Arabidopsis thaliana: one gene and its partners. The protein of the gene in region 3 interacts with the protein of the main gene of each other region in a pairwise test. Each region holds a gene or a part of one and is shown on either strand. Other genes may lie near its edges.

Region 1 (5,087 bases), on a different chromosome or scaffold from region 3:
ATACTGTGGAGAATACAATGGTATAAGAGATATCAATTTCACATTCAATGAACCAAGGAGTTTAAAAAGAAGGATAATGAGTTTATTTATCTATTAAATAGTTCAAGAAAAAATTAGAATTTAAACACGAAACCAATAGCCCCAAGAGAATCAGGATAGATCTCTCTGCCGCATTGGTATCAAAAGATGCAAAAACTGTTGAGAACAACAGATCATGGTATGTATTTCCATCCAGTAATAGTAAACATAAAGCACTAAATTGAGGAGTTCAACATACCTCAGAAGTAAATCTTGCTCGATTTATGACATCATCACTGAGAAGCCTTTTCAACACCTAAGATTGTTTATATTTAACGAGTGAGCAAAACCAACAGAGAAACTACACAAAAATCCCATACGCATAACTAGAGAAAGAGGATCAGTCTGGTGAACTTACCTCCGGGAATGGTGATTCAATAAAATACCGATTTTTCTTCAATACCAACTTCACTTTCCCATAATTAGCAGTAGAAGCATGGATGAAATCAATGATCTCCCCGGGTAGCTTGGTCTTAGATAGCTTATTCAAAACAGAGATGATAGTTTCTGTCTCAAGACCAACGGAAACAGCAGCATACAACGAGTGTGGGGTTAAATTATACTCGTGCATTGACTCAGGCCTGAAATAGTAACAAATGAATGAAAATCAACAACAAAAATCATAACTTGTACATTGATATAATAATCAAATCAAAATCAAACCTGCAAACGGGTTCAGCAATGGCGATAAGAAAGTCATAAGCTTGTTTATAGAGAGGAGAAAATGTCTCCAAGAAAATCTTTCCATCAGCACAAGCCCACAAAGGCCTATTTCCATGATCCGGCTTCAACTCCAAATCAGTAAAATCTCTCCTCTTCTCCTCTCCTTCACCTTTAAAAACCATTATAAATTCTATTTCAATTTTGTTCCCAATGTATCTATGTTAATTATACGAGAGTAATCAATATTACCATCACGAGAATCCTCATCAGCATCATCATAGTAATCTTCAACGTTTTGTATGTTCTTCATCTTTTGATCATCCTGAGATTTTTACAGTACAATTACACTAACTAGAAGTGAAGAGCCTAATAAATAAAAAAAGTCATGTGGAGAAGAATCAACACGAACCTTCCCACCGTACTTCATCTTCTTTGTAGGTCGTTTTCTTTCATCTAAACATCAACATTTTCCCCAGTATTAGCATACTCTTTTCACCGGATAATTCAATAAACGAATCAAAACTCAGTACGATCGAGATTCGAGACCATTACCGTTTCCCATATTGATTTTCTTCTTTTCGCTCCTCTTAATCAAATCGATTTTAGGGATTGTTTCTCTTGTATTTTCAATTTGTGAATTCGCACATAACCTAAATTGTACGACGGAGGGAATATACAACCGTCTTCGTGGTAATTTCCCGTTGTAAGCTATTCAACGAAGCAAGCTGCGTCTCCGGCGAATTCGGATTCCTGTGTCGAGTCGGTGACTCGTTTGAAGCGGAGGAAGGAAATTGTTAAGCAGAAACGTAAGAACACGATTCATATATAAAGGCTGCAGTAACAGATCAAATATGGGCTTTTAATAGGATTCTTTAAATGGGCTTTATTCTTAAGTTTGAGCCCATGTTTCTTTTTTAAACATCGATAAATTATTTGCCGGAAAAAAAATAGTAATAATTTTACTGAAAATGGTACTTCCCAATTTATAATTTTTTGGTCGACACTTTTCAGCCGATTTTCAGTTATGTAATTTCATTATTGAAATTTTGAAAAATACATTGTAACGGAAAAAATAAAATAATTAATCAGCTAATTAATAATTGTATTAATGAATTTAATAAATCAGGTAAGTAAATATAATATTGAGCCCAAAAAGAGTCTTTGTAATTTCTTAGGAAAGTCATTTTGATAGAGCGCACGATAAACACAGCACCGCAAAAAGCACAGAAGCAGAGAAAGACGAAGACAAAACAAAAAAAGCTTCCCCCAAGAACAAAAAGTAAAATTCTCTCTATGATTTTGAGATTTTTAATTCCTCTTCTCTGATTCAATCTCGAGAAGATGATCGGTTCTTCTTTGGTGTTTGTTCTTGCTAGTGATCGCTTTTCTTTAGGTTTTGAGCTTGATTTTTGTGTGAAATTCTGTGGGTTTTTTTTTTACTGTTTTGATCCGTATTTCTCCTATGTGTTTATGCTAGATTCTGAGAATTCTGATGTTTATTGTTGCTTTTATAAGTTTCGGTTTAGGGTTTTACGGATTAGCTTGCTCTTAATGGAGCTTTGGTTCTTTTTGTGGATTCATTGTTTGTGTTGGAGTTAAATTCTGAGTAGAATTGTTTTAAGTTTTTGGGGTTTAGTGTAAAACTGATTTGAATTTATTGCAATTGTGTGTAGATGGTGCTAAAGAGAATGAGAATTGTAGGAGATTCACATAGGCTTGTAGTCGCAACACTGTTGTCTCGATTTTAATGGTTGATGTTTATTGTATCTTTGATTATTGAGAGTGAATTTGAACTGTTAGTAGCTGAATTGTTTTATTGTTGCTACTAGCATGATGAGTCTGATCAGACTTTAGTAGACAGCTCAAACTGATATCGAAAACGATAAAGCTTGTTTGAGTTTCTTGCATATAGATGATAAATATTCTCCTACTGATCTCAGAATGTAATTTGTTTCTTCACATATCTTGTAGGTTAGCATAGATGAAGAGTCTTCGGGTTTTGTAGTTTTTGTAAAACAGAAAAAAAAAAAAAGAGAAGAAGAGATGGGAGGTTGCTGTTGTTGTTCTTCTTCACGAAGAGCTGATGTAGATAATGGACCTGCGTACTACTACGTTAGTCTGATACTTCTCCCACTTCCTCGTTTTTTTTGGGTGTCCTTGCTTTGATAGGCTGCAAATAAATCAATCTTGATGTGCTTCAGGACACTAAATGAGTTAAAAGCCCCAACGGGCTTCGAGATTCATATGGGAATATAACTTGTTTTATGACTTGTATTTTGCAGTACCCAAGGGCAACAGAAGAGCGTGTGCCTTTATCTTCCGCTCATAACAGGACTTCCTCTGCAATCTCTACTGGTGTTGTAGTAGTAGACACAAACTTAGAGACATCATCTCCTGATGCTTATATACCACCGCCACTGCCTACCCCTTTCGATGTGCCTATAGGGATTCCTCAAACACCAGCTAGTGGTGAAGAGGCTACTTGTGTTGATATAAGAGAGGTTTCGGTGGACTCTGCTAATACCGAGTCTGCTCAAGAAACAGTTGATGGTATTACTCTCGGGGTTCCAACTACATGCTCACATAAAGAGACAGATAGCAAAATCCAAACAGAGATTGATCTTGAATCTACTGAAGAAATAGACCCGAAGCTATCAAAAGCTGTTTTTATACCAATAGAGGAAGAGGAGGATTGTCCCATATGTTTGGAAGGTAAAAGCTTGTTTGCCTTTCCCACATCTCAAAAACATATAAACATAATCGTACCTTACATGACTGCGAGAATGGGTTATTTATTATATTGTCTGTGCTTTTGATTCAGAATATGATATCGAGAACCCGAAACTTGTAGCCAAATGTGATCACCATTTTCACCTTGCATGCATTCTAGAATGGATGGAGAGAAGTGAAACCTGCCCCGTCTGCAACAAGGTACATTCTTTTATTCACTTCTCTTTGGTGTATGTCGAAAAACTCTAATCTCTAAGTAAACCGTAAATAATGAGTAGTTCCAATTTAGCTTGTTTACAAATTCATTTTAATTCCCGGGATATGTCTGAGAGGATCCGTTTGTTCTGCAGGAAATGGTATTTGACTCTACTCTTGACTAGCAACCCGCAAATGCCGCATCTTAGAAGGCTCAATTCTCTCTGTATCAGAAGAAAGAAATTGGAGAACAAGAGAAAAACTTAAAAAGAAAAAATGGGTAAGAATACACTAATAGCTGATCACAAAGTTGGATTTACGAAACATGTCAGTGTTGATATACATATGTTTGTGTACAGACGTTTCAAATCGTCTACAAAAAAACGGAGATTAAGAATTAGAGTTTGTGCTTTAGATTCACTTCTGTGAATAAAAAACGAGACAAAACTGATAATTTTTCTTCTAGATGTTTTAATTTTGGTAATTCTTGTTTATAGGTTATTTTAGGAGTGTTTTAAAGCTGGGGTTTCAATTTGGGTTTGATTCAGTTTTTTCTTGAGTTTAAGAAAAATATTAATCAAACTGAAATTGAGAGTTTGTTATGTATGGATTGGGTTTATTACGGTTCGATTTTAGTTTGGTTTAGTGCTTATTTATTTTCTTTATGTTGTTCTGTGATATGTAATATGAAAATTGTTTATACTTACTAGTTTGTAGTGTTTATGTTTTAGATTTCTTAGTTCTTCACATTTTCGAAACTTGGTTTGTTTAGTTGTCTCATTAGTTGAATATGTGATGTCGTATTGTCGTACATCTTACTTACATGAGTACGTCAAATTAAATGAGACTTATCTAGTAAATGATATTGTTACATGTAGATGCAATATTAGTCATTGCTTTGTTTAATAAATAATATTTGTCACAAGTGAGTAAGTGACAGATGAATAGTTGCTAATTATAGTGAATCATGCTAATGGTATATTGGACAAATATTTTTATTTTTTAAAAAATTTCCTGTCTAATTTGTTTTTTCTAGTTAAATACTTATACAGATTCATGTTTTTAGACTGTAATCGGGCATGACCATCCAACTATTTTTGTCGACCAACAACTTCAACGCGCCAGAAAAGCGTTTTGAGTGACCATTACTGTGTAAAACAGTATAAAATAGAGGTTTTTTTGTCACGCCATTGGTTTAAATGAAAAATTAAATTTAACAAAATTGAAAACTTTAAAAATAATAAAATCAGATAAACATAAGCGAACAACGAATAAAATGTGCAAAAAAAATCACCAAGTAAAGTAATTTGTATAAAAATATTCTTAGGGTTCTAGTTACTAATTTGTATACAAAACATAACACCAAGTAAAGTAATTGCTGTAAAAAACACTAATTAACATATTCTTAAGAATTATAAACA
Region 2 (4,476 bases), on a different chromosome or scaffold from region 3:
GACGGGGCTAGTAACGCCGGGAGATGTAATCGGGAAAGCGACAGAGTTTAAAGCTGGAAAAGGAGCTTACGTCAACGACGCCACCATCTACGCTTCCCTCACAGGAACTTGCCGGATTGTTTCTCCTCTTCCCGAATCAATTGATCAGGTTTCGTCTTTGTTCCAAGTGATTAATTCTTCTGGCACATCTATTCGTAATCGAAATCGAAATCGTTGGATTGTTATACTTGTTTTTGTGATTGTTATGGATATATAACTTATTGGATGATAAAAATGGTAAGCAGAGAGCTATTGTGGAAGTTACAGGTCACAAGGCACATGGTCCTATTCCAGAGACTGGTTCTGTTGTCATAGCAAGAGTGAGTCCTGCACTTATTTCATTGGATTCATTGATGTTCATACTTGGAAAAAAAGAGAGTAATTTCATCACTCACTATTCTCTGTTATTCGTGATAGGTGACTAAAGTTATGACTAAGATGGCTGCTGTTGATATCTTGTGTGTTGGTTCAAAAGCCGTTCGTGAAAATTTTGCTGGTGTAATTAGGTGAATTTCTCATCCTCCTTTGGTGTTTATTTTCAAGGTTTGTTCTTTTATGTGTCGATCTAACTTGTGTTTGCTCTTTCATAGGCAACAAGATGTTAGAGCAACAGAGATTGACAAAGTTGACATGCATCAGTCTTTCCATGCTGGTGACATTGTTAGAGCTATGGTTGTATCCTTGCGCTTATGTTTCACACTTATTGTCTAGTAGTACAGTGGTTAACATTGTTTATTAGAGGAGAGACAATTCTAAGATTTGTTACATTATGCCATTTATTTTCTCTTTTTACTTACATATCTCTTTGTATAGTTTAATTTGAATGTAGCGTAGGTGTAGTCTATAATAATAGATGATGTTTTGGGTGATAATATCTGAAGTTGCCTTAACTTGGACTCTTAAAGCTGTCTCTTGGTGATGCACGGGCTTACTACTTGTCAACTGCTAAGAATGAACTTGGTGTGGTCTCAGCTGAAAGTGCTGCGGGTAATTTTTTTCCTACTCTTAGAAACTAAATAAAGGGTAATGAGGGCAAAGATTACTAATTATATAGCTAATCTATCACATATCAAATTGTAATACATTTCTAACTTGTAGTTCTCATTATGGAATTATGAGTAACAAATATTTTCGTCCTGGACTTGGAGTATGTTAATGTGTAGATGCATTTGCTTCTTTGGGCAGTTTATAATACTATACGAAGTTAATTTCCGTTTGAGTAATCGAAATGTTTATGTGGTCTGGTGATTGTGCAGGCGAAACAATGGTTCCGATAAGTTGGACAGAGATGCAGTGCCCCTTGTCGGGCCAAACCGAGCAGAGAAAAGTTGCCAAGGTGGGTAATTGAATTCAAGACAACACTTGGCTTCTCTCACATAATGAGGTGTGGTCTCTGCAGCAAGACAGACATTTGAGATTATTACAATTTTGAGCTCTTCTGTTGTTTGTTATCAAGTGTAGAGATAACTTTAGACCAACTTGACCTTTATTCGACAATAGTCAGGATACTATTATTATTAGGATACTTACAACTTCTTAAACTCGAAAGACATTTTGTTGTTAGAATTTGAACATAAATCCATAACTCCAACAATGTGGAAATGCTAGGCTTAGCTCGGAACAACTTAAAAATTCATTCGATTGTCGCAATTTCTTGGTGAGTTGGTAGTATAAAAACTTAGCAGAAAATCAAGAAACAAACTTCCTAAGAGATGTAAATCTGTATGCCCTTGGTGCTGCCGAGAAAAGAAATGGTTTTTGTATACAAAAATGTATGGGTCACAATTAGAATAAGTTTAAGCTTTATAATCGAAACGTTTGGGGTCATAACTAAATATATGTAAAATTAAAGGGACTATTTACGAAACTTTCTGTTTTTCCCTGGTTAAATTTCGACCAAAAAGGCTTATGGATCAAAAGGTAGAAGAAGACAAAGACGAGAGAGAAAGGATCGCTATTATTCAGGAAACTTCATTTTGCACTTTTTCGACGAACCTGAAAAATCTTCAATTTTAGAATTAGTCAATACCGGAAAATTCCTGGGTTTTCTCTTGCTTCTGGATTTTCTCAGGTCTCTATCACAAAGGTACTCATCGATTCCTCTGTTTTTTGTTTTCCTTTGAAAGTTTCTTTGATGATCATTGGATTTTGATACCATTCATTACTGATCATCTGATGTTGATCGATGAGCTTATGATGGTTTTTGGGTTTCATCGGATTGATGCTTTTTATCTGAAAGGTTGATGCTTTTGCTCGTACATTAAACAATGAATCCTTAAAAAAACTGTTTTTTTTTGCTCGAATTGTATAGTTTTGTGATGTGTATTAGCTTATTCAAGTTTAGTTATTCATTTGGTTTTAGAAATGTTATATGTTTCTCTTACAGGTGATTCTACTGTGTAGGAGGAACAAGAGTTTTGCACCAAGAAGAGAGAGGAAGGATTCTGGTTTACGGGAGCTAGTGAAAATCTTCTGTGAAATTGGCTTTCCTCTCTCATTCTCTGTGAAATTTGAAAGTATTGATTTCGAAGATATGGGTGCTTTCTGTTGTTGCTTTCAAGTTGATCTCTTTGAGAGTTATGTGAATCCAAACACTTCCATAACTAGGAACTGTCCTTGCCTTAATTGCTTCCTCCAGAGTTTCATGGATTTGGTAATGTTCTTCTTCACTTTCGTCTTCGAATCTTTTGTTTCTTTGTAGTTAAAACTTTATGTTCGATTTTTTTTGGGCAGTATGCTTCGTTGTTTAGTAGAGGGGGAATGCATCCAATACCTTCAACTGTAGAGACAGCTACAGTGATGAATTCAACAACTGCACTTGATGACTCTCTGTCTAGTGTATATCATTCTCCTCCAACACCATTGCCTTACGATGCTGATCCTAGGTACTTTCGTTTTGTTAAGGGCTCTAGTCATTCAGGTGAAGAATCAGAACCGTTAAGAGGTGATACTGAAATGAGTTCTGAAGCTTTGGGTGATGGTGGAGCCAAGTGGAGTAAGTCTGATTCTGAAGATGGTTCGAAAGAAGTGTATACGAAAGGTTCATCAACCTTTACAAAGTCGAAAACAATGCCGGGGATAGAAGTTTATTATGCAGATTCGGATGATGAAGATATTTGTCCAACCTGCCTTGATGGTAATACTAAAAAATTAGTTTGATGCTATTGTTATTATTCTCTTTGAACCTATTATATGCAGTTTTGTTGGTAAAGAGTGTGTTAGGTTGTTAGTAGATCTTTATAAGTTGCTTTCTTGGTTTCATTTCTTCATTTAGTGCACTCCTGAGTCCTGAGCCATTAGGCCATTAATAGTATAGTTTACGTAGATGAGGCAATCGTTGCGAGTGCATTAAGGTAATATTGGTTTCATAGTTCTTTGTTTTAACAATATGCAGATTACACTTTGGAGAATCCGAAGATAATCACCAAGTGTTCTCACCATTTCCACCTTAGCTGTATTTATGAATGGATGGAGAGAAGTGAAACTTGCCCCGTCTGTGGAAAGGTAACTCGTCGCTTTCTACAAAACTTTAAAACCCGGATTTGGTCGAATGTTCCATCAATCTCCTTCATCGATATTAAAAGTGCATCATTTTGTATTAGAATTTGATATCCCCATTTTAAGTAGTGGTCCATTTCTCATACAATTATTGGTCATATAGAGAACCATGAGATGAGTTAACTTTTTGGAGTTAATGCATCCATACCTAATTGTTTCACTCTAATCTTTCAGGTGATGGCATTTGATGAAAATGAAACTTCTTAGCATTGTAATAAAGACTTGCTCAAAGAACATAATGGCGTCTGAGTCCTGCTCAAAAGAATAAACAGAGAGAAATCACTTGTACATAAAACTCCTGTGAATATCCAGATGCCTTTTAACAGTAAATATGTGATGTCTCTTAATTTATAGACTCATATATCTTATATACATTTATAAAGCAAGACAATGATTGGAAGGAAAAGTAGTTTGAATCATTCAAAAAATTGTTATCTAGAACATTGTTTTGAGATCAGAGCAAGAAGAAGAAGAGTGCTTGAAATCAACTTCTCTGAATTATTAGACAAACCAATAAAGAAAAATCTTATTACACCAACTTCTTTGAAAAGTCAATAACTTAAAGCTCAAACAACAGAAACAGAGAATCTCCATAGATGTAAAACTTCAACAACTCTTGAGTACACTGATTGTGTTTCAAGCCGAGGCCGCTTTAAACGCACTCTGGAATGTCTCGGGCGGTTGCGCACCACTCAGCTTCACCTTCCCATTGATCTGACCAAACAATACAAAGCATGGACATTAGACTTGAAGACTAAGGCACCCTTCAAAAATGGCGAGTTTCGCCATGAACTTATTAAGGCAATCAATCTAAAGCGCTAAAACTTACAGTGTAATTTGGAACTCCGGTGATATTTTTCGAATACTTTGCCAGTTCTT
Region 3 (4,515 bases):
ATAAAAAGGAAAAAAAGAAAAAAAAACTACAGAGATAACATTTATCACCATAAGATCCAGGCTGGATCAATCCAACCATGAGTGTTAATGTTTGGGCTTGAAATCTGATGAAACATAAATTAATTGAGCTTCTGAGCAATGTGTAAATGTGTTATAGGTTTAATTACGTTCAACCACTTTTTTCATTTATTTAATAAGTTGATTTTCCAAGACCACTCGTAATCAACTTTCATGGAGTCCGTTTATGGTTAAGACCACTCGTAATCAACTTACAAGCAAGTTAAACAGTGTCCTAAAAGTAGAAGTCTACATGTCGAAGAATGATTGTTTCTATGTCAAGAACGACGACGCGGAACATCAAGAAGTACATGCAAATCGACGTGCATCATCATCAATAAGAAGTGTGCTAATTGTAGAAAAAAGTAACACTTAGTTTTCAAAGGTTCTATTAATCACCGTAAGCATTGGCTTTAGATGAATCACAGAAACAAAAATAAGGGTTACGAAGCTGTTCATGGCTTCTTTTTCCATTAGTTCGGATTACAAAGATTCATGATTTTTTATGATACTTTCTTGTTTTAACCTTGGTGTATTACATAACAAATAACCAATTAAATATAGCAGATTTCATTTATATATAAAAAAAGGGCTGACACAAAATGTTAAATTCAAAAGATTGAACACATGGAGTGAGGAAGAGAAGCTGTTTTTGATATTTGCACACAATGATAAAACTTCAGATGATCAATCGGACAACATCATCATCATCACCATACCATCCACACAGACCATTTTTTGATGAATTAAAAAAAAAAAAGCGTTGAGAACGACAATGGAGGACCCCCAGATACATACTTTGGTATTAGAAGGGGCAATGATTTTCTAGCAAACCAGAAGAAGATTCCAGAAGTAACTAGAAGCAAGTACCTTCCGGAGGTTGAACAAGCTTACGGTTATGCGACGTAGACATTTCCTTCTTCAACTGTACCAGTATATCCTCCATTGTGTACTCTCTTTGCCAGTTTGCAAGTAGCCCAAATTTCTTAGGATCCACCTATACACATACGCATAAAAAAATTACAGAGCATCCAAAGAAACAAAACAGAGAAAGGAAGGGCGGTGGTGAGTTTATACGTACCACTCCTGTTTCGTGGTTGACACAAGCCATGTTGACACGTGAATGGAATCGGACAGTTGGAGGTTTCTCCGGGTAATCTTTGTCACAAAAGAGCTTCAACTGATAGATTCTACCTTCATGAACAGTCTGTGACATAAAATTTATCTCTGTTACTACAAGCAAAAGCAACAATGGCATAATCTGCTCAAATAAAGCTTAAGAGATTGTATGTCGATAAGATCAATGCCTAGAAAACAATGTGGTTTTGATGTTCTGTATTCCAAGCAATGAGATGCAAATAATATTAATCTATGCTTCTCAAAACAATTGTTAACATATATGAAGACGAAGGAGAATGTTAGCAGATAAAGAAAAAGATATAACTACGTTGTGAGGACCGATGATGGTGCCAGTCCAAGAACGCATATAGATGTCATCTCCATCATCCATTCCATAGCTCACAGTTCCATCCCCAATACCTTTCTCCCCACGTTCAAGCTCCTCCAACAACCGAAAATTCCTCGGAACTATATTGCAATAACAAGCGTAACAAAAACAATTCATATCAGTAAATGAAAACAAGCAATCACTTTTTTTAATCAAAGCAGAGAACAGAACATATCATATTAATCATTATCCACAAAGACTAAAATAAGATAACACTCAACAAAGTTAACAATGAGCTATAGAGAAGATGAAAACATTCCTAGCTAAGGTCTTAGAAACAATAAGAAACTCAGGAATAGCATTTTAAACCCATCTCAGGAATTGAGACATCAGCAAATCATTCTCAGCGATTTGTTAAAATTGATTGATTCAGATCAAGCTATATGCGAACAATTTAGACAAAGCTACAATTTTTTATACTAGATCGATAGAACCTATGAGAAATCTCAACACCTATTGATCAAAACGAATAAAACCAAAAGAAGAATTCACCAAAACCCTAGAGAAAAAAAAACAAACGAGGGATTATTCCAAAACCCTAGAATCAAAATCAAAAAACGAGAACAAACCCGAAAGAATCGAAATTTTATACCAACAACGCTAGATCCTCCTGAGCCAAGAGTCATAATTGATGAAGTTGTGGTTTCGATATCCGATTGATTTTGAGATCTGACGAGCAGAGAAGAGAGACGAGAAGAAGTAAAGGGAGAATCGAATAGAGAGAATCTGGTGAATAGACAGAAAGCTAAAATGGGAGGGTCAAATTTGGCAAATCGGGTACTTTTGGGGAGACTGGAAAAAGTTATTTTTTTCAAATTTACCGCCCAAATTTGTTTTTCTATCATATAATTCCTTAAATTATGATAACTACAGAAACACCCCTTTTATTTTCGAGTTTTGACAACATCTATTTGTTATTATTTTAACTAGCAATGCAAAATTTCTATATACATGAAAATTATTGAAATATTAAAACTCGCTTGATTTGCAACTAAATTATCGTAAAATGTAAATTTCTTTTTCAAAAATCATGTTAAAACTTTAGGATAAAATGTTGTCACGTATATATGTCGTCGCATGTGCCTTAATATATATGAAAAACAGAAATTAATTATTTATTAGATTTTTGAAAATTTAGTACTTATAAATAGAAAAATGTCATAAAATACATTAAAACAAATTTTAGTTGCTACTTTTTCACTAAATTTAGGTTTAAAAATATTTTCTTAAATAATTTAATATTTGAAGTTTGTAAAAGTTCTTAAATTTTATTGAATTTGATGGTGAATTGTTTTGAATAAATAACGTTTTAATTGATGAAGATACAACTTTTAACCTTAATTATTGAAAATTTCATCGGATTGAATGCCGATGAAACCAAAGCAATACCATTATTAGCATACTACCAATTTGATTCTTAAGACCCTAATTCGAGACGTGTCGATTTTTTTACTTGTGTTTAAATTTATATTTTGTAATTTTTAAAAATAAACTTTCTATTTTTTTTGGCGTTTTTCATTTACATTGAAAAACTATGTTTCTCTGGAGTATACAAATAAATAAATATAAACGCAAACGCCATAACTAGCGTTTGAAACAATCGAATTCAACTCCGATGAAAATCCATCCTCGTTCATGTCATTGGCTTCCATAGTACTAAAACATGAAAATGGACAACTTAACAAAATGAACCAAGAGGGACGGCCACAAACAGAAATGATCTGTCTGTCAATTTAACATATTAAAATAGAGATTATAATTTAAACAATATGATTTATATAGAGGACTTTACAAAGAAAATTAAATTCATCATCTCAAACTCAAAAGTCCAAATTGAATAATAACTTAAAACAAATTCTCTAAAAGAAGATCAAGTCGGTGCATTTGCACTTGGGGCAACGTTGACGTTCTTGTAAGACCATAACATACATCATACAACTTCGACATCCCATCACCACCATCTCCGGCGCCTCTTCTTCATCAACCCACGACGATGCAACCTCCTCCTTCACTTCCTCCGTCCTCGTCAGGCACGAGTTTTGTGATGATGATGTGTCGCTCGATGGTGATCTTCCTTCAAACCTCCCATTAGCAACCACCGACGCCACGGTCCTCGCCGAGGGCTCAACGCTACCTCTTTTACCATTCTTGTTTCTCATTTCGATACTTCGGTTTCGTCGAGAGGGTTTTTGTATTCTTGTATTTGTTTTTCTCTGTGTTTTTCTAGGGGATGGGTTGATGGTAATGACTTCTAAAGAAAATGTATGTATGTAATATATAAGGAAGAAGAGGAGCTAAAATATGACTAGGAATTAATATTTGTTGAATAAAGTAATTATGTTGTGGAGAGAGATATGACTTTGTTTATTTCGTAATAATTTTTTTAATTGGAGGTGGGAAAGTTAGTAAAAGTATAGTAGAGACAAATATATGAAACAAAAGACAATTCAGTAAACAATGCATTAGTGCATTTAAACCAGTGCAGCAAACTATTTATTGCTAAATGTAAAGGGGAAGACTTAAATCTTACAATTTAAAAGAAGAATTTATGATTTTTTATTGGTAATCTAAATTTTAAGTAATATGTCATCCATTTGATTTGTTAATGTAACGTTAAATTATATTTCAAGAAAATAACAGTTTTACAAATACTACGATTTGTGTTTGAAAGAATTTAAACTTAGGGTTTAAAGAATAAAGAAGAAACTGAATTTGTCATCCATTTCACAATAGTTTTAATCTTATGACTTCACTTTTTTGTTTCATAAATTTGTCGTTTTGTATATTTAATGTATATTTTAAAGAAACTTATAGTTTATTTATATGGCGTATTTTATCAATTAGACTTTGTTTGTTTGATTCATTTATTAGTTAATACTACTCAATGTTTTATCTATTAAATTGTTTGTCACAGTAAGACTATTATTCAACTGATTTCTTGAATGAAAATA

What was found. Proteins that work in one complex are often made in the same cells at the same time.
Region 1: the proteins of UEV1D-4 (region 3) and AT5G41350 interact in a two-hybrid assay, tested with the Arabidopsis thaliana proteins (one large-scale study listed by BioGRID).
Region 2: the proteins of UEV1D-4 (region 3) and AT5G38895 interact in a two-hybrid assay, tested with the Arabidopsis thaliana proteins (one large-scale study listed by BioGRID).

Annotation. Positions count from the first base shown.
Region 1 is NC_003076.8:16,540,790-16,545,876, reverse strand, and holds AT5G41350 (RING/U-box superfamily protein), read left to right. Parts: upstream 1-1,904; 5' UTR 1,905-2,488; coding exon 2,489-2,491; intron 2,492-2,665; exon of another isoform or gene 2,666-2,712; coding exon 2,713-2,853; intron 2,854-3,023; coding exon 3,024-3,453; intron 3,454-3,562; coding exon 3,563-3,672; intron 3,673-3,821; coding exon 3,822-3,851; 3' UTR 3,852-4,415; downstream 4,416-5,087. Other genes in the region: XPB2 (homolog of Xeroderma pigmentosum complementation group B 2), read right to left, coding at 278-334, 437-659, 742-910, 991-1,063, 1,151-1,194, 1,294-1,303.
Region 2 is NC_003076.8:15,569,512-15,573,987, forward strand, and holds AT5G38895 (RING/U-box superfamily protein), read left to right. Parts: upstream 1-1,742; 5' UTR 1,743-1,763; coding exon 1,764-1,793; exon of another isoform or gene 1,794-1,809; coding exon of another isoform or gene 1,810-1,817; intron 1,818-1,943; coding exon 1,944-2,125; intron 2,126-2,425; coding exon of another isoform or gene 2,426-2,442; coding exon 2,443-2,692; intron 2,693-2,772; coding exon 2,773-3,175; intron 3,176-3,433; coding exon 3,434-3,543; intron 3,544-3,771; coding exon 3,772-3,804; downstream 3,805-4,476. Other genes in the region: AT5G38890 (Nucleic acid-binding, OB-fold-like protein), read left to right, coding at 1-148, 285-359, 457-545, 630-714, 945-1,026, 1,296-1,387; AT5G38900 (Thioredoxin superfamily protein), read right to left, coding at 4,234-4,311, 4,427-4,476.
Region 3 is NC_003074.8:19,493,765-19,498,279, forward strand, and holds UEV1D-4 (ubiquitin E2 variant 1D-4), read right to left. Parts: upstream 2,332-4,515; 5' UTR 2,191-2,331; coding exon 2,157-2,190; exon of another isoform or gene 2,134-2,156; intron 1,645-2,133; coding exon 1,505-1,644; coding exon of another isoform or gene 1,502-1,504; intron 1,319-1,501; coding exon 1,139-1,318; intron 1,055-1,138; coding exon 914-1,054; 3' UTR 613-913; downstream 1-612. Other genes in the region: AT3G52561 (uncharacterized protein), read right to left, coding at 3,424-3,723. UniProt on the Arabidopsis thaliana protein: Has no ubiquitin ligase activity on its own. The heterodimer with UBC catalyzes the synthesis of non-canonical poly-ubiquitin chains that are linked through 'Lys-63'. This type of poly-ubiquitination does not lead to protein degradation by the proteasome.